2 linked regions of the Mytilus edulis genome follow. The protein of the gene in region 2 interacts with the protein of the main gene of each other region in a pairwise test. Links are inferred from orthologs where the notes say so. Each region holds a gene or a part of one and is shown on either strand. Other genes may lie near its edges.

Evidence for each region. The genes of interacting proteins can lie anywhere in the genome.
Region 1: the proteins of max-binding protein MNT-like (region 2) and max-like protein X interact in a two-hybrid assay, tested with the Homo sapiens proteins (2 studies listed by BioGRID and IntAct). The link is inferred for Mytilus edulis from reciprocal best matches to the Homo sapiens genes MNT and MLX.

The regions. Positions count from the first base shown.
Region 1 is NC_092347.1:30,991,432-31,002,237, forward strand, and holds the start of max-like protein X, read right to left. Parts: upstream 4,982-10,806; 5' UTR 4,879-4,981; intron 3,717-4,878; 5' UTR 3,684-3,716; coding exon 3,641-3,683; intron 2,725-3,640; exon of another isoform or gene 2,723-2,724; coding exon 2,594-2,722; intron 1-2,593. Other genes in the region: DNA-directed RNA polymerase II subunit GRINL1A-like, read left to right, coding at 6,634-6,739, 10,395-10,806. UniProt on the Homo sapiens protein: Transcription regulator. Forms a sequence-specific DNA-binding protein complex with MAD1, MAD4, MNT, WBSCR14 and MLXIP which recognizes the core sequence 5'-CACGTG-3'. The TCFL4-MAD1, TCFL4-MAD4, TCFL4-WBSCR14 complexes are transcriptional repressors.
Region 2 is NC_092349.1:3,784,588-3,795,236, forward strand, and holds the start of max-binding protein MNT-like, read right to left. Parts: upstream 4,348-10,649; 5' UTR 4,133-4,347; coding exon 4,066-4,132; intron 3,818-4,065; coding exon 3,688-3,817; intron 2,037-3,687; coding exon 1,995-2,036; intron 1,010-1,994; coding exon 898-1,009; intron 1-897. Other genes in the region: transmembrane protein 248-like, read left to right, coding at 7,432-7,581, 8,136-8,302, 8,848-8,963, 10,171-10,321. UniProt on the Homo sapiens protein: Binds DNA as a heterodimer with MAX and represses transcription. Binds to the canonical E box sequence 5'-CACGTG-3' and, with higher affinity, to 5'-CACGCG-3'.

The DNA.
Region 1 (10,806 bases), on a different chromosome or scaffold from region 2:
GCGAGGCTAAAAAATTTTGGCGAGGGGTCTGAAGCTCTGAGAAAAATAACGCAAAATCGTGCATTCTGAGCGTTTCCCGGACTTTTTATTTACATTGAAACGCAATTAATTTTTAGCTATTTTTTCGACACGATACTGGTCTCAAAGCTAAAACATAGATTAATTGTAATTAAAGACTTTTAGGTTTCACAGGGACAACATTAAAAGTAGACCAATATGTAGGATAAAGCAACAAGAGGCTGTCACAACGACAGCAAACCGGATTTATTAATATTTATTTGTGTCCTGGCAATATCACAAGAACCATTACTGATGAATGGTGAAAGTGAAAATCATCAATATCAAATTTGACCTCCATTTTGTCATCAGTATCAACATCTTAAAATTTGAAAAGCTTAGATTGAATGGTTCATGAGTAAATGCAACAACGTGAATGGAAACGCCATTTCACAATCTTTCAAGAACCACAACTCCTGAACGGTAAAAGTCAAAATCATCATTATTGAACTTGACCTCTAATTTGCCATCAGTAACAACATATAAAAATTTCAAAAGCTTTGGTTGAATGGTTCATGAGAAAATGCACGGACACGACTGGAAACACCATTTTTCAATCTTTCAAGAACCATAACTCCTGAACGGTAAAAGTCAAAATCGTCTTTATTGAACTTGACTTCTATTTTGTCATCAGTAACAACATATTAAAATTTGGGAAGCTTAGGTAGAACAGTTCATGCGTAAATGCACGAAAACGACTGGAAACTCCATTTTTCAATCTTTCAAGAACCATAACTCCTGAACGGTTAAAGTCAAAATCGTCATTATTGAACTTGACCTCCATTTTGTCATCAGTAACAACATATTAAAATTTGGGAAGCTTAGGTAGAACAGTTCATGCGTAAATGCACGGACACGACTGGAAACTCCATTTTTCTATCTTTCAAGAACCATAACTTCTGAACGGTAAAAGTCAAAATCGCCATTATTAAACTTGACCTCCATTTTGTCATCAGTAACAACATATTAAAATTTGGGAAGCTTAGGTAGAACAGTTCATGCGTAAATGCACGAAAACGACTGGAAACTCCATTTTTCAATCTTTCAAGAACCATAACTCCTGAACAGTAAAAGTCAAAATCGCCATTATTGAACTTGACCTTCATTTAGTTGTCAGTAACAACATATTAAAATTTTAAAAGCTTTGGTTGAACGGTTCATGAGTTAATGCACGGACAACATTTGATTGCCGCCCGCCCGCCCGCCCGCCCGACCGACCGCCCGCCCGACAGCCCGCCGTACATCCCCAAATCAATAACCGACATTTTTGTCACAAAAATCCGGTTAAAAATCGTAAAAAATCATAATCATTAAAACCGGATCTGTCTGTCGTTCTGTTGTTGTCTTGTATAGTGCTTAGACTTTTTTTATTATTTTTTTTATTATATTTAAATATAGTGACAGTGCAACTATTATAATTATACTAGTACTGAAAAGTCGTCACTAAGGACCATCTTGACCTTGTTTTGGGGTATTAATGATTCTTTTATTGTTGAAGACCCTCCAGTAACTATCAAGATGAAGAACAAGAATAAAAACTTTGACCATTGATCATTGTATTTGTTTCTATGCATTGACTTTGTGTGAGATTATGTTCCGTGCACGTTTACTCCATGTTCCTTTATTTTCAGTTAAAGGGTCTGAACTTAATGCAAGTTTAACCCTTCAATGTAAAAGGTCATATTGAAATGCATTGATGTTTTTATAATTTATATAGATGACTTTATACGAGGAAATTAGAGGTCTTACTTTAATTTAATCCATGTCAGCTATCTTTCTACAAAAAAGAGCCAGTTTTCTTTGATATCAAGTTCAATTCTCCATGCAGAAACGATTTTTTTTTGCTGTGTCCAGAATAGCATCGTATATTCTTAAAATATTTTCTCACACAATTTCTGGACATCGGTGGACATGCACTATTGCAAAACCAAACGCTTACAAATGAAAATCAACACTCAGACTATAGTCATAAAGTAGGACAATAAATGAACAAAAGACAAACCCAAGACACGGAAGTACAAACAAAAGAAAAACCCGGGACACAGAAGTACAAACAATAGACTATCTACTCTGAAAACTAAAAGTAAAATAAAACATGGATCACGAAAACATGCAGGGGCAACAACAGATAGTAAAGAAAACATGCTTTTTGCAAGAGACTTTCAGTGAAAACAATTTGATATGAAGACAATGTTTTGTTTCCGTTTTTTTTGTTTTTTTTTTTGAAATTTCCAACATGAGACATTTGCCTCATTTGCCTCAATGTAGTTACGGCCCTGGTATCTTTTAAAGTAACATTGATTTAGAATAAGTGCACTTGATCATTAAAATTGTAAAATTTGATGTTCCTTTTGTTTATTGTAGTGAATGAATCTAAATCATGTTCTTAGTAAGGGTTTATCTTTTAGTTTAATGACTACTTATAAATCAAAACAAAGAAATTTTATAAATGAGTTACAATTGTCCTAGGCAAACGATGATGGTGACACATCTTTGTGGTATAGAGATAGTATCACTACAGAATTATTTCCCTTACCTGTATTATGTGCAGATGATGCTGAAGACATACATCCCTGTGGTATAGAGCCTGTACTACTTGTCCGTGAGAAAGAAAATCTGTTATTGTGGGTAGGACTTACAGTCTCTACTTTCATCAGATTTTCATCTGTAGAAAAAAAGCATAATACATTTGTATTGGAAATTTCCAGAGAATTTATATTGTTTGGTTACTGACTAATTGATATTATTCCCAAATTTCTTTCTATTCACATTTTTATTGATACATGTTTCAGATAATTGATTTATTTTGTAAAAGACTGTCATGATATGGTGTGAATAACGTTGAAAATAGATTTGAAAAGTGCATTAGCTTCTGGATATTGAAAAAAATAAAATATATATTTTTTGGTTCAATTATTAATCATAAAGTACTATGAAACATAAGAATGCCAAATATTTCAAAAATGGAAAGAAAGCCTTCTTCTTTCTGTTAAATTTACATGTGAATTGGTACAACAAATTTTAATTATGGTATAAATTGTTTGACAGGCATATCATGGTTTACAGTATACAATAATTTCAGTGTTCTCCCAAGGGCCTTAACACACTGTGGAAACCTGGTATTATATTTTCTACCATGGTTCTATCTTTATGATTTTATAGTTGAATGTATAGGGGCCATGGTGCTATATTTTTTTGTAAAACAGTTCAATGTTAATTTCCATGGTGTCCGTGATATTTAAAAATTCTGGGGACCACAGGATGTGAAATAATCATGACAAAAGCAGTTGAATAATTTTCCACATTAAATTATTTAATGTCATATCATGAGTATTGAAATTCTCAAAGATTTCATATATTTAAAAAAAAAAATTCAATGAAACTGAATTTCATCTACCTGTTTGTATTTATAGTTACTAGGGTTTTTTTTTGCACTAATTGAGTACATGTATATATATATATGTATATACAATGTATTAAAATTATAAATCTTTTGAAATTTTCATAATCATTTTGGGATGTAAGTTTGTAAAATAATGAAAAAAATAAAATAATTATGCTTACCCAAGAACAAACAACTCACCTTTTTTGTCAAAGCTAATATCACTATAGCTACTATCAGCCATTTTATTTGCTATTTGCTACAACATGTTAAACATCTAAAAAGTGAAAAACAAAATATTTTTACTAATGGCATATATCTATTGTTACTATAAGCTACACTATGAAAACTAAGCTGCAATAACACAGATCGGGAAAGATCCTCATAAATATGTACATGTACATGTATCAGTTTATAGTAATGAAAATTTACTTTTAATTTAATAGTATACTTGCTTTCATGGCACAACCATTCATAAAAAGTTACATTTTGTCCCAAGACAGCTTGACTGAAATATTTGGATAAAAAAATTACCTACATTGATTTAAAAAACTCATGTTACACATGTATGCTATTGTCTTTAAGTCAAAGCCCTACGGATTGGTGTGGGGTTGAAACAAAATTGTTGCTGTGCATGCCCTGAATGAGGATAGGAATGGCCTTTACCGTCAGGCGTTATAAACTGTTATTTTTATCTAAAACTTCACCTTGATTCGTCAAAATATCTATCATGATTCATCAAAATATCCTTATAGTGATTCATCAGAGGTAATTACTGTTAATGTTATTTTTGGAAAATTTTTGCGTGATTTATTAAAATCAGTTGATTATTTTTATCATCTAAAAGAAAGTGTACATTTATCCACATGCACCAATAATTACCGTTAACATCATTTGGCTAGAATTTTTACCGTTATTTGTCACGAAGGAACCCCCATACACGTATTCGCTATTTGGATATCTGTCCCTCATAAACTTTTGACGTCATACAACAAACACTTTTCCATTGTGGTGTCAGATATTTTCTATTATGCCATCAAAATTTTACGGGAACTTTTGTGATGTCATGTTATGGCGGACAAATAGCAATTAGGTGTATAACGACCCTCCTGAATATTCTATTCCACATATTACTTAAATTATAATTTTTTTTAGTGTCATGGTAATTTAACTATTCATCGATAGATCTGTATAAAAGACAACAGCAATAATATCTAAATATAGATTATGATTAGGTCCAATGTAAATCTGGATCACTGCTGTGGGATGTCTTTTTTTTTGTCATGAGATAAAGTTTACAAACAGTAACTTCAGCAAGGGCAATTATAGCAATAAGTTTCCATTTCAATGTAAAAAAATCTTATTAACTACTACTACGGCGGTGTTAAACGACCTAAACAGCCCAAAGTTTGGTGTAATTTCAATTTGGCTGAGTTTACCTGTTTATTTTCAGTCCGAAATTCCACTTGTTTACTAGTGAGTTCTTCACTGTTGAGGTAAAAACATCGCAATTTGTCAATCATAATCTTTTGTACGTTTATAGTTAGGGTCTCACAAGGTAAAATAAAAAAAATTACAAGCAGAAAATTGACATTGATCATTTTCCAACAAAGTTGTGAAACTTTTTATTTACCTGTTTACCTGTGTAAAATTCAGTCAGTAACATAATTATCGAACAGTTTGTAGTAACAAAAATTAGTCTATAGAATGATCATAAAATCCCTAAATTTACAAATAAAATAACCAAATTAAATCACTTATACTATAGTTATAGAAAAACTTCAAAACGTAAAACAAAATAACCAAAATCACCTTAAAAATAACTATTTAATTGTACCTGCTAAAAGAAAATAAATATATATATATATATACATATTCTGGCATCAGACTCTGACTTCTTTTGAACTGAATTTTGCTGTGTTTGTTTTTTATACACTGGCTTGCGCCCAGAGATAAACAAATTGTAAAAGGGGAGGGTTGAGATTTTAAAGGGAAACTTCGCCAAAAAATCAAAAATTGATATTATGTCCATTCTGTATAAAAATTCTCAAATTCATAGATATTAAAGTTTTATTCTGCTAGATAAGAGATCATCATCGATTTTAAATTTAATTCCCTGTGTGCCGCCATTTTGTCATCTTCTCCGTTCAGAAACCACGATATGTCTATAAACCACAAAGGACCAAAACTATAGTAACCTGATGTAGTTGTAATTGCGTGTCGATATCTTGTAAATCGTACAGTTGTTTTATCTGACTAAATAACTTGATACAGAAAATGTTATTATTTTCTAAATAACCATGGTCTGTCATTTTTAAACTGTTTATATGGGAATTAGTTAAAGAGTCAAAGTTTGAATCATAAATAAGTGTTCAGTGAAAATTGTTTTCGAAAATCTAATTTGTTCATAATTCTTTTATGTGATTTAAATAAATTTGGACCTTCCCTAGCATGGCTAAAGGTATTAACCCAAAAGGTATTTTTAGATGACACGTCCAGGTATTCAAACGATTTCCTGTCAGACTTGCAAGTTCATGCATCGTTTCACTTCTGAGGGTATTGAGGAGTGTACACGGCCGATAACTTTTTCAATTTTGAACTATCAGGTGTATAATATACATCTCTGTCTTGCTTGTCCGAAAGCGATATACTAGTCATTAATAAACTCATACGCTTGTTTATAAATAACATTTCTGGTGTAAAGAATAGTATTTATAAAAATCTACTTACATTTTCCCAAATTTACTCTTGGAAAAAATATGTAAATAGATTTTTATTTTATCAAATCTTTTTTTTATTTGGTATTATTTAGATTTTTATAAAGATAAAATTTTACTAAAAAATCTTCATGATCTTCAATGTTGATTATGTTTCATTTTACATGTACATGTAAAAGTCAGTTTTTGCTGCAATATTTTCCATTGATACATGATTAATTTCAAGAGAAAAGACTATACTTTGCAATATTTATACATATTTGTTACTGTTGTTGGTTCTGAAAAGTAAAGAAAAAAGCTGTTTCAGACATTAATAAAAAAAAAAAATGAATTTTATTACATCCTTCAACTTTCGCTTGTTGAAATACATTGAATTAGAATTGTTCCGTGTGCTTTCTATATAATATTAAAATTTTAAAAATTGACAACTGACAGGACAAAAGTTTTTAAATTTTTGTACATTTGTTGATTTATTAGAAATGGAACACATACCACAGGATTACCTAGAAGGTAATTTGTCTGCAAAATCTGTCACAGAGTTGAAAGAATTGTTGGAAAGGCAGGAAAAGCTGTTGAAGAAGGTGTAAGTTCATGAAGTTTTTGATATATACATTTGTACAGTGATAACCTGCCTACATGCAGAGCTTTTTCTGTTTTATGTTCATGACTGAATTTTATGAGAATTCTGATTGCATTACTAACGAATGTCCATTGTGTGTCCTGGTTCTCTGTGTTACCTGAATCTTGTAATCACAATGATTTTGATATTCCGTAAAATACTCTGTGTTCTGGCATGTTTTATAACATGTCCTTATGGTTACAAACCAGATGAGTCTATGGAGCCTCGATTCACAAGTTCTTTAACAGTGGGGTCCATGCTTTGACTACCAGTATGTTGATAATGATTTTTTACTCTAGATGGTAAAAAATATTGAGTCTCTGGCTTTACAGTCATTTAAATTTAGTCAGAACTCAAGTGAACAAAGTTTATGCTTAGAACATGAAATTCAGCATTTATATTGGTTAATTTCTGATTCTGAGTACAATAATCATACTCTAAAAATATGTATGTAAGGCCTTGTCATAAAATGTTTTAGCATGCTTTATAACATAGGCAATATAGGAAAGGTATACTGACATAAGTAGTCTCTAAACACATTAGCTCCATGGAGCTTTCGTTAGTAGAAGCCATATTAACTATGTGTATCAGTGAGAAAAATGTAAAAGCATAAAAATATAGTATATACCAATACACATAATTAACAGCGCCTGGTGATGTTTGATAGCCTGACCGGTTTCGGTCCATAAAGGACCTTCATCAGAGGCAGAATGGTGGATTAATGTTTGCACCCTATTTATATAGATATGGTAACCGGCGGTTGAGTTAACCAGCGGTTGAGTTAACCGGCGGTTGGGTTAACCGGCGGTTGAGTTGTCCGGCGGTTGAGTTAACCGGCGGTTGAGTTAGGCGGCGGTTGAGTTAACCGGCGGTTGAGTTAACCGGCGGTTGAGTTTACCGGCGGTTGAGTTAACCGGTGAAAAATCCCAGTGGGATTTTCCATGGTTACAATTATCTATATTTAGCCAATGTTCATGTTACAGTAAACTTTTTGACATGTTACGGTAAACATTTTTACACTATATGGTAAACATGTGACCTGATGATATAACCATATTTGGGCTTTAGCATTGGATAAAGGGTGTTTTAATAATTTAAGAAGTACATAGTAATCATTTAGTCTTGATCTTTGGCTTATGATCCACCTAAATATCAAGTCTTGGAATAGTATTTCATGGTAGTTATGTGATCTTAATATTTGGCTTATGATACACCTAAATATCAAGTCTTGAAATAGTACTTCCTAGTAGTCATGCAGTCTTGACCTCAGGCTTATGATACACCTGTATATCAAGTCTTGAAATAGTAATTCATGGTAGTCATGCAGTCTTGATCTTTGGCTTATGAAACACCTAAATATCAAGTCTAATAATAGTATTTCATGGTAGTCATGCAGTCTTGACGTTTTAGCTTGTGATACACCAAAACATCAAGTCAAAACTATTACCCCCCCCCCCCCTAACCAAACAAAATTTGGTTTAGGGGGGGGGGGGGGTTCTTATTGAGAATACTTCATTTAAGCCTTTAGTACTCCTTTCAAGATCAAAGGTAGATGAATATTAATCCTCAGTGTTAAAAAGTTTTCAACACCTTAAGTTTGTAATGTAGGTATTACATATATACATCAATTTCAGGTAATCGCTAGGCTTACGCTTAGAGCTCCTATGCCAGTGAAAAATCAATAGGCAATATAGGAAAGGTATACTGACATAAGTAGTCTCTAAACACATTAGCTCCATGGAGCTTTCGTTAGTAGAAGCCATATTAACTATGTGTATCAGTGAGAAAAATGTAAAAGCATAAAAATATAGTATATACCAATACACATAATTAACAGCGCCTGGTGATGTTTGATAGCCTGACCGGTTTCGGTCCATAAAGGACCTTCATCAGAGGCAGAATGGTGGATTAATGTTTGCACCCTATTTATATAGATATGGTAACCGGCGGTTGAGTTAACCAGCGGTTGAGTTAACCGGCGGTTGGGTTAACCGGCGGTTGAGTTGACAGGCGGTTGAGTTAACCGGTGGTTGAGTTAACCGGCGGTTGAGTTAATGGAGCTAATGTGTTTAGAGACGTCTTATGTCAGTATACCTTTCCTATATTGCCTATTGATTTTTCACTGGCATAGGAGCTCTAAGCGTAAGCCTAGCGATTACCTGAAATTGATGTATATATGTAATACCTACATTACAAACTTAAGGTGTTGAAAACTTTTTAACACTGAGGATTAATATTCATCTACCTTTGATCTTGAAAGGAGTACTAAAGGCTTAAATGAAGCATTCTCAATAAGAACCCCCCCCCCCCTAAACCAAATTTTGTTTGGTTAGGGGGGGGGGGGGTAATAGTTTTGACTTGATGTTTTGGTGTATCACAAGCTAAAACGTCAAGACTGCATGACTACCATGAAATACTATTATTAGACTTGATATTTAGGTGTTTCATAAGCCAAAGATCAAGACTGCATGACTACCATGAATTACTATTTCAAGACTTGATATACAGGTGTATCATAAGCCTGAGGTCAAGACTGCATGACTACTAGGAAGTACTATTTCAAGACTTGATATTTAGGTGTATCATAAGCCAAATATTAAGATCACATAACTACCATGAAATACTATTCCAAGACTTGATATTTAGGTGGATCATAAGCCAAAGATCAAGACTAAATGATTACTATGTACTTCTTAAATTATTAAAACACCCTTTATCCAATGCTGAAGCCCAAATATGGTTATATCATCAGGTCACATGTTTACCATATAGTGTAAAAATGTTTACCGTAACATGTCAAAAAGTTTACTGTAACATGAACATTGGCTAAATATAGATAATTGTAACCATGGAAAATCCCACTGGGATTTTTCACCGGTTAACTCAACCGCCGGTTAACTCAACCGCCGGTTAACTTAACCGCCGGTTAACTCAACCGCCGCCTAACTCAACCGCCGGTTAACTCAACCGCCGGTTAACTCAACCGCCGGTCAACTCAACCGCCAGTTAACCCAACCGCCGGTTAACTCAACCGCTGGTTAACTCAGCCGCCGGTTACCATATCTATATAAATAGGGTGCAAACATTAATCCACCATTCTGCCTCTGATGAAGGTCCTTTATGGACCGAAACCGGTCAGGCTATCAAACATCACCAGGCGCTGTTAATTATGTGTATTGGTATATACTATATTTTCATGCTTTATAACATACTCTGAGTCAGAAATCAACCAATCAAAATACTGGATTTGGTGTTTCGAGCACAAATTTTTTACTCTAAGCACCAAGTAAAGTTTGATGACCGAGGACCTTAGGACTCATCATGTTCACAATAAATTCATATTGATAAACTCTGTGTGCTCAATGAGTAGCTTTGATTATTTAAAATTTAGTTCAATGTCTTTTATATATATATAAATTCCAAAACGGTGGCAGTTTTGTAAATTAATGTAGATGAAATCAGGCAGAAGTGGTATGATTGACTGCCAGACAGTTGTTTACTTTACCATTACAAGTGGAGTTTGTGGGATACATTTAACTGTGAAATTTGCTAAGTTTTTAAAAAATAATTTTTAGTTTAGATAATTTTAGCTAATTAAATATGTGATTGAATATTTCAGAAAATTTCTAAAGACGTTGCCAGATGGAGGGGCAAAGGTGCAATCATTTGTTGAGAAACTACATAGAATGATCAGTGAGAGAATAGAGACAGAATTACAGGAATCAACAAACAGACAAATTATCTCCCCTTCACTAAACAGACAAGTTATCTCCCCTTCAACTAAAGAAAATGTTAAACCCAAAGTGATTACTGAAGTTACAGGCCAAATGATAAAAAAGCCAGTTTCAAAATTCAAAATACAAAATCTTCAACAGTCTAGGGATGTACCAAAACAAAACAAAGACATACAAAAAGATTTTAGTGTAATGGTTCAAAATGAATCAGAATCGGATTTATGTAATGCTGAAGGGAATGTACATATGGAACTTGAAAGAAATATGTCAAATTTTGTACTGGAAAGAGACCAAGTT
Region 2 (10,649 bases):
AAGTAGTGTCTACTGAATCATTTATTTTGTAAGCTACAGTACACATGTACCTGTCATTTGTTGTTGTATGATTTATAGTCAGACATTGAATTATAATTTAGAGTCATGACATCATTTTGATTTATAAATCTTTGTTCGTTTTCTATAGTTTATTTGGTATAAATATAGTGAAGGAAAAAGTTTGTTTTGTGTATACTCATTTTATGATAATATGCTTAATACTGTTAACTGGTTTATTATCCTGGAGTAAAAATTTCACTTTTTCTAAGGCCAACACCTGTCATGCTTGTATAAAAACATTTGATTGGTTGAAACTATCATGTGATGTCAAACAAAACTTCATATTCCCCTCTGAACGTAGGGATTGCCTTGTGCGACTTTACCTGCGGTTAATGTTTAAATGAAATATTTTGATAGGGTCTATTTTAAAAATTATTTCAAATCTAAAAACAATTAAAAAAAAAAAAAAATTAATTAGCTTTAAATCTGTACTGATTATCATTGTGTATGTTGTGTTTAGTTATAAAACAAAAGGAATAAGAAAAAAATTATGTAAATTTTTATATTCAGAAGTAAAAAAGAGTATAGGCAGTGGAATAAAACATTCATTTTCCTTAGCTTTGTGACATATGAAGATTTGTTCACCTTTGAAAAGTCATATTTCCCTCAGGCAATGCCCATGTGAAATATGATTTATCTTGGGTGAACAAATCTTTATGTTTCCCTCTGATACGGGAAATAAATATATATTATTTTTCCCTTTGTCTCTGATTTCGGTCTCTCTTGAACATGTTAAATATGATCAAAAATCAAAGTCGCACTTAGACATTACTTTTTCTAAACTATGAAATTATGAGAGAGAGAAAATATGATTGTCTGAATATCTGACGTTTATACCTGGATATAACGAAGGGAGCCTCTCAAAATACCAAGATTGGATGTTCGCTTGTCTTCTAACGTTGGAATCTGCTTCTTTAAGTAATCAAAACATTCTTTCAAGTGAGCTCTCCTGTAAAAGTATAATTAATCAAACAATGTTTTTCTAAACCAGTAATTATTTTAAATTCATAAAATATTTTTTGTTTATAATTGTTAAGTGTTGGTCACATATATACAACAGAAATAAAAATGAAGTCTGTACATGTACACGTTTAATTGCAAATATGGCTTTATGTATAAACTTTGAGGTGGTCTTATCTAACTTATAATTCAGCAGGTTGGCGAGATATTTTTCTTTCAACTTATCTTTACAACTATTGTTGCTGCTTCTCCACCTATAGTTCATCAGCAACTAAGAGTTAAAGCAAATATAACAGAATATATTGTTTCTAGATAGATGTAAGAAGGAAAAAGTGCCAACTCTCCATTCAATTCTGTTCTTTTACTTTTTGTGTTTTTTTCTGTGCATGTTCTAACTTTAAGTGTCATGGATAGATAGCCCATATCTTTGCTTCTCTATTTTGCATTGTGTACACGTTTCATAACATTTAGATGAGGCAAACAAAAGTAAGAGAAAGAAAACAAAATTTCAGATGTTTTCCATTTGTAAATGGGTGCACAGCTCTAGAACAGTAAAAGTGACGTCACCAAAATTCAAACTTTATTGGTGTTTTGCGGTAATTAGCATTGTGTACAAATTTTGAAACATTTACTTGTTTAACTAAAGTTAGCAGTTAGAGAACAGAAACATGTTATGCCCCCTCAGCACCTGCTGTCTTGGGAAGGGTTTGAACAACCAAAATATTTTAAAGTGTGGCCAAAATTATTTCACAGAAGTTACACAGATCATGTAGGTAGAAGATGAAGATCAGTGTCAAATTGATACTAAGAATATATGTAGCAGTTATAAACCAAGAAGAGATTCTGACATCAACCTTCGAATTCTTATGTTTAAAACAGCATTTGGTCAAGAAATTGGAGCAAAAAAATTCAACAGTATCCATGAACATGATGAACTTTGATAATTAAGTGTTTATATAGCATTACAAGTTTACCTGTTTTTCTCCAATTTGTTGTGAACTTCTCTTGTTCCAGCCCTAAAATAATAAAATGATGAGTTAAAATATATATGCAACAGGAGTTTGAAAGGAGTGCTAATTATTAGAAACCAGATATCATAAATGTGTTTTCCATTTGTCAATGCTTTTGTGTGCATTCAACTCATGTTTAAAAATATTTATAATTCTACTAATGACATCATACATTGTATGTCATGTACATGGATGTAACATTTGTATCATGTTTTTCATAACGGATTTAAACAAACATAACATGGTATAGTATGCTCACATGAAGGTTCATTCTAAATTTTAGAAAGCCTTGATTTGCAGTTCCAGAGAAAAATGTGACGAAATTTTACACAATTTTGTACATACAAGTGTTCTTTAATCAATGAATTGGAAAGTTATGATGTCACACAGTATTAAGCATGCTCACATACAAAATGTACAATATGCATTAGTTTAATGAAATTTCAAGAAAAAGTTCCTGGGAAAAGTTTAACCAAAAATACATGGGACAGAAGGACATAACCACTCAGTAATATACAAAAAACAGACAGAAAGTCACAAATAATAGTGTTCATAATTGTTTTAAGATCTTGAAATAAGTTCTTTTTTATTCAGTTGCTGAAATTATTCACAAGTATTGATCATGTTGATGGATAGTCCAAATAATTATGACATCTGGATTTTTGTTTTGTTTCAAAAAGATTTCCCACAATTATCAATGAAACGACACTTCTGGTGAATATAAAATATTAAAAGCGGGACATTTTGAAAGACATGAATTTCCAGATAATGTAAATCGAACGTTCCGGAAATTCGGGTCCATTGAATCTTACCGATTTTAATATTTAATATTCACCGGAAGTGACGTTTCATTGATTATTGTGGGAAATCTTTTTGAAACAAAATACAATATTTGCCGGACTCAAATGGAATCGTATCTTATTTTACCATTTCTTCTGGAAATATTTTACATCAATAAAGCACAAAAAAGGTAGGACTTTGTAACTACGTAAAAATTTTAAACCTGCAAGGCAAATTTTATGTCAAAATTAGGTCTCAAAGTTCCCCCTCAAACTCCAGACGTAAAAAATGGCTTCAGCGTTATGACTTCGTAGGAAAGCGTCCCAGAAAAGAATTTAAATAGCCTTGCCAGACGTCATAATTATTTGGACTAGTTGATGGATGAAGATTTTCGCAAATTGTATAAATCATGCAAAGGATACATTTTTAGAAACCATGAAGCCATTTAATTACAAATGTGCTAAGCCATTATTACTGTTTTTTTTAACAATATTTGTTCATAATTGATTTTTTTAATTAAATTTTGTTTTCAAAGGTGTTGATATAAAAAAGTTCAAGAAAAACAATAATTATTCTTAAATGATAAGCTCTTCTTCAAATTGTTGGAAGAAAAACATCAAAAACTGATTTTTTTTTTTTTTTTTATTTTCTGAAAAAGTTCAAGGATTGGACATGTAGTCTAGAGAATAATTTGTAAAAGTTCTCTCATTTTTCATTTATTATTATTATATGAAAAATTTATTGCACTGAATAAACGTCTATTATTTTGTTTGTAAACAATGACACGCGGCAAATAGCACGTGTGTTCAAGGTCGATCAGATCGACAATATTATTAGTGTGCAAATACACATGTCAAAATATGTCACGTGAACAGACCCTCCGGCTCGCCTTTTTTCTCTTTCATCTCCATCTGCATACTTTCCAGAGTTGCTGGATTCAGGAGAGTCGTCAGAATCATTCCCAACTCGTGATGAATATCCGTGTGGGTCCTCTGATGTACTATCACCTTCAAAAAATAAAAAAAAATCCAAGCGTCGAGTGATCATGCTCATAAATATATGCAAATTAGGTAGCGACCAGGAACCGTCAAAAATTCAAGATGGATATCTTCCTTATAACACAAAAATTGAAGCGTAGATTATCTATTGCATGAATGAATATTGTGCATACTGTAATAAAATTGTAAGTTCAAACGACAAAATGTAGTTTTCGTGTTCATATAAGGCAATTTCTGCAGCCATGTGCTTTGCTTACCACGTGTTTTAGGCTTGTTACGCCATTCTAGATATTCCGCAGCTTCCAACAAAGTTTCCAAACTCATCGCCAGAACCGAAGCCCTCTTCTATAGATGTCATTAATTGTTTATCATCCGAAATACTCATATATCCATGAGGACACACTATGTGTCCTCAAATATTTGATTGAATTCTTACAAATATTAAAAGAACATGGCGGGCGGCGGTACCAAAACACTTGCTGCCGTGCAAAATATTACAACACCACGTGGATTTTGATTGGCATCTGTCATCCTTGTCCAATGAAATTTAAGCATTTTGACGTCATACACAAACTTCAGAATCACATGTTTTGTTTTGGCTGTTCCATTTATTTAGTTCAACAAGTAGATTCACCTATTCTAGACTTATCTATAATTTTTTATTGCCGTATTACTTTTGAAGATATCCCTTTAATGTATTTTTATTGATATTATAGCATTATGTTGAAAATTAATGCCAAGTTTTTACAAACTTCGATGGCATTTCCACGTTTACTTTAGAAGTGGGCGGTTCCCCTTGGTGATTATAGAAGCCATGTGGAATAGAAATCACGTGATATATTACCTTTCAAAATGGGTTCCGGAAGTTGTGACGTTTGATGCTCCAGATTTGACAACATTTTGACAAGTTTTTGCTGCTGAAACTGGCGATAGGATGTCGTGAATTTACAGTTGATCATAAACTGTAATATATTTGGTAAATTTTTAATGAGTTTTTATTTACTCTTGTCTTTGCAGATTATTCTGTCAGTGGAAGAACTACTCATCACATGGAGTCATGCATGCTAAATAATTTAACTTTGAAGCACTATAATCTCTGATTTGGCATGTCAGAACTACGGAACAAGAAGTTAGCAAATAAAAATTCGAAATTTAAGCTGCAAAATATATTGCACACGTACAATTGAAAAGCCTTGATAAACAGGAACATATATATTAACATAGATATACTGTTCCCAGGGTATACTTTCTAAAAGTAAAAAGCTTATACAAATCTTTTTTTACCTCAGGATTTTGTGAATTAATAAAGAAAATTTTTTAAAAATCATGCCTGGCTAAGAACATTTACTGGTAGGAGTGATGCTAATGAAACTTGTACTAATCACAGGCTAGATGTTTGCATATATTTTATTACTATTGACAGATATTCTCAATTCTAGTGCCTGTTGTCAGGTTGTACCATGTCTGATTAAATTATTCATAATTGTTCCTTTGACTCTGTTTTAAAGATGAAATAAATGCGAAAAGTGTGCAATACTTCAGATGATCAGTTCCAATGTTATAGTCTCTTTTACTGTGTCTGATTTTAATCTACTCACTAAAGTAATGTGATAACGTCAGAAATATAAACATGGAGATATAAGAAGATGTGGTAAGAGTGCCAATGAGTTAACTCTCTGATTATCCAAGTCACAATTTATAAAAATAAACCATTACATATTTCACCAACCGTTGGTAAAAAGGGTTCAAACTAGAAGAGTAAAACTATATGGTTATCTTTTTAAATCATTTCACTTGCTTATTTCACCCTTAGGAAAACAAGCAAAATTATTCATGATATTACTTATTAAATCTCCACATTCAAATAAGGATTCCAGATATTGTTTTATGAATTGTATTGAAACCGAACTGTTGATTAGAAGAAATTGACTAATATGACCATGGTTACATTATAAAAAAAAATACAATCAAAAACATTTAAAAAGAACAACTGTGTAAATCAGCATCCTTTAAACATGGTAAAGTAAATTACCTAGTCAAAACACATTTAATGTGTAACCTCCAACATACTCAATATTTATTTCAGCACCCATGGTGCCCAAACATCAGTGAAGCATTAAAAGTTTATGTCATCTTAGGACTTCACCAACCCTTTTATCAAATGTTAAATTTATGCAATCAAACAGCTTCCAGAATGTTAGTTAATTAAAATGTTTATTATAACTGTAGAAATAATACACATAATCCATTTAATGAAGGTGTGAAAATTAAATCACATGATTAAATCAACTGATTAATCTGTTTATTACACAATGTTATATCGAGGAATTTGTTATTCTAAGATTAATTACATATAATTAAATCAATTTGTTAATCTTTTTATTACTACAAGAAATTGTTGCTAATTCAGTATATATAATTGACAAACAAAACACAAGCTATGTACCTTGCAATTTAATTTATAAAAAAAATCCTTAGAAATACACATTTAAAAATTTCTTTCCCCACACATATTTATAGTTTCATTATATATTTTTTTTTGGCAAATTTAGAAAAAGCTAAATACAAGTATAAAGAACAGTTAATATATATGTTCCTGCAGATATGTAGCACTGACAGATATCAAATTTGAAGATCTTATTATTGCCATACTAGAGAGTGACATTATTCACATTAGGCCATGGAAAAGTAATTGATGATTTCCCCTAACCCAACCGGGTCATTTTTTTACCGCCGGGTCATTAAATTTTTCTTTAGAAAAAAATATATAATAATATAATAATAAAAAAAAAATTTTTTTTTTTTTGCAGAGACAACTAAAAGTGTTGGAAATATGCAAGATTATAGTTCCGTTATTATAACAAAACATATAGATATAAAATTACACATGGTTACATAAAAAAAAAAAAAAAAAAAGCCTGCCTTTAAAATTTTCCCATGTTAGGGGAAACCAACAATTAATTTTCCATGGCCTTAAATAGTGATACAAACACAAATGCAGGTAAAACACATTTCCTGCTTGTAAAAATTGGTAGATCATTGTGTTAATTGATAAAAAGTGTCATAATTCAGGGAAACATATAGCCTTTAATTCTTATCAAGTTATATTTCCCCATCAAGCATTTCAAGGATGATAAACAAGAGTATTTGAAGGATATTTAGCTCTTCAGGTGCTGAAGATGTGTATGATTTTAAACTGTAACACAAACAAGATTGACTGTCTTATATTTAAGGTAATTAATGACAACTGGTTACTGGCATATTATCCAAATGTTTAGAATGAAAAGCATGATAAGTACTGGTAGCCAGTATTGTAAATTGTACAAAGGTAAATGCCAGTGGGTAGATTTATTTTCCAAAAGAATTATATTGTTGTGATTATAGGTGGAGTTATTTCCCTTTGTCCGTATGTTGGAGGGAAACTGGTAATTTTCTTATTTGACTTTCGCAAATTAGACATCAATATATGATCCATACTGAATCATTTTGATGAAATGCACATTAACAAGGTGATAAACATTTACGTGAGTGACATCGTAGAGTCTGAAACCAAGATTTTCTTGATTTTTTCACTGAATATTAATTAATTATCCCCATTATTTTCAGGAGATTTGGCTGACAAAATGACATTATGGGAGAATCTGAAAGGATTTACCAGCAGCCGTCCTCCACTGGTGATGTTCATGGTCTGTCTCGGAGCATTTGCCATAGCTTTGATTTCACTGTCTTATTATTTTAAATCTAATGACCTCTACAATCCAGATTTAACTGAGGTAAGTACATTGATCATGAACAAGTGGACAGTTTTTAGGGAGGATCACAAACATGGAGTACAATAAATGATACTACAAATATAAATATATGGTTTCTGTTCAATAGTTGTCTCATCGGCAATAACACTCCATCTCTTCCATTTATTAGTCCCCTACTGACTTTGTTCCAAAAATTTTTAAGGTTTGTTGTAAAGCATAAAAAAAGGACGTTAAATTAATTCTAACATGTCTATGATTTCAATTCAAATGGATTATTTTTTTTGTTGTTGTCATGAAATTTAAAGAATCACTTGAGCATGTTGAGTATAAACTGTTATTGAACCATGAAAATTAAATTATGAATATATTATGGCATTTTAGAAAACAAAAGTACAAGGCAGGGCTTTAAGACAGACAGGACAGGCCTGCCTTTCAATTTAGCTGCATTATAGCTAGAACATGCATATGTTAATCATGCTATTTCAAACAATTATTTTCTTTGAAATATAAAGCTATACTGTACTACATACTTGAGCTGTTAACATTGTTGATTTTGATGATTTATTATTTTTCAGGAATGGCAGGCATTTTTAGAGAACTTTGCTGAAGTTGACTTTTGTATTACTAATAATGATTCTGACATACAGATAGGAGATTTTGAACCTCCATTGAGATTACACCATATATACTCAAAGTTAAGACCAACGTCACATTTCTCTAGACCCACAAATGATGAAGTTGTGTAAGTTAACATGGTTAAGATTTATGCTTATCCTGAGATAAACTGATAAAATGTGAAGCCTGCATTAAAAGTTAGGTCTGTCTGGAAACCCTTAAAATATTTAAAATTTTACTCGTGTTACGTATTTCTTTCTTTGAAACAAAGATGAATTATGCACAATTTTTTTGAAAAGTGCAAATTTAACAAAGACTAATGGGGGAAAAATCAATGGTGGTATTACACCTTATAAAGTCACCCAAGGTTAGATGAAACAAAACAACAGTTAGGAATGCACTGAGCAACTGACAAATTCCTTGACTTATCTTTGTTACAACTCAACCCAGTTCGACACAATGAGTTTGTATTTACTGTATAATCATCAAGTATAAAAAAGAAGATGTGGTATGATTGCCCATGAGACAACACTCCACAACAGACCAAATGACACAGAAGGGTTATTGAAATTACAAGAAATATACATATACACTTAAACATTGTTTTTCATTAATACACTTTATTCAATTTAAGACATTTATATATAGATAATAATTAATTTATGGTTACAGGAACACATCTATATCAATGTGGGTGGAGATAACTCCTACAAGAGAATTAATCCACATGCCAAACAATATAACATTCCTTTACGCATCACTCAATGGTAGTATGGTTGGATTGAGAGGTAAGTTACACAGAGATTGAAAATAACATTGAAAGATTGGTTTGTAACACATGTTTCAACAGGGGCCTCAGTGGCCGAGTGGTCTAAGTAGTTACTACTGTAATCCCTAGCCAGTCAACACTGAGGTTGTGAGTTCAAACACCGTTTGTGCGTGTGCACTCAACTCCAATCTTAATTGACTACGATTTTCAGTTTTCCTATCGAATGTTGGTGGTTTTCTCTGGGCACTCTCTGGCTTCTTCCACCAATAAATACTGGCTGCCACGAAATAGCCTAAATGGGGTGCTTAAAAGTGGTGTTAAAACATCAAAACTCAAAATCAAATCAAGTTTCACCACTCATTCCAAAAGTTTGATAAAATGTGAAATTGAATGTCATTTTCTAACCTTACACATCCATTGAAATGCTTTGGATTTATTTATTTTCATGAGTACCTATTTTAATGGATTGAGGAAAACTTGTGGATATTTGATTTTGTGTTTTAGTCTGTATACAAAGTCTATATATAATTTGTTATTTGTTGAACATTTGTATATTTGATGTTCATTTATTCTTACAAAACCCATGAAATTAAATGAATAGTCCAGCCAATGCATTTTGGTTCTAAGTTACTGTTACTTTTTAGACAAGAAACCATACTAAAACCCATAACACCTTAAAACTGTGTTTATTTACATTCATTTGTAACAATGTAATCATAGTTGCCCTTGTTTCTTTATTTTTTCCTAAATATTTGATGCCATTGCTGTTAGAAATGGTATGGGGAGCAGGACATTAAGTGTAACCCTTTTACGTCCTTATATCTAACTGTTCTTATGTACTTCCAAAAATTGGAATTTGGGTGGCATCACTTTTATAGTTAGTGTAAATTCAGAAATTATTGCGATGTTTTAATTATTGAGAAAAATGTGACATGTGCGACAGGGTCATAATTGCAAAAATTTAAACTCGCATTTTGAATTTTTTTTTTTAAATAACAGTATTTTTCTCAAATGCTCAACATCGCAAAAAAATAAAATCGCATTTTAGTCTCAAATGACAAGACAGCAATATTTAATGCTCACAAAAATTTCTGAATTTACCGTATCTAGTTATTTCCCTTTATAACATAACATGCAAGTGATGGTATCATCTGTGTCTCATGGACACATTCTCCATTTATTGTACAATGAAAATTTTAAATTATTTAAAATATTTTCTATTTCAGATCATAAGCTAGAAGACACAATGAATTTGACGTTATATTTACCTATTGCTTGGAATCAAATCCATTGTTTGAAGACAGGAAGGTGCTCAACTGTTAAAGTACTGGCTTGTGTCAACTTTCAGGCTCCTGCCTATTTCTTCCCAAGTGTCAGGTAATGAAGCAATATAAAACTGTGCTGAAGTACACTTCACCTTAAAACTATGCCTCTCTGCACCTAACCTTAGGTGAAATATGTACCTAGGCATGCTATGGAAAGGTATATGTTCAACAAGTTTGAAAAAGTAAAATAGCAAAAATACAGAACTCCAATAGGGAAAATACAGAACAGAAAGACCTTTATCAAAGACAAAATCAAAAACTATTAACACATCAAACAAATGGAATTCAACTGTCATAGGCATTTCCTTACGTAGAATATAATGTTTTAAACCTGGTTCAAGCTATTCTAAACCTCTGATTTATGACAGTCAAATAGACTT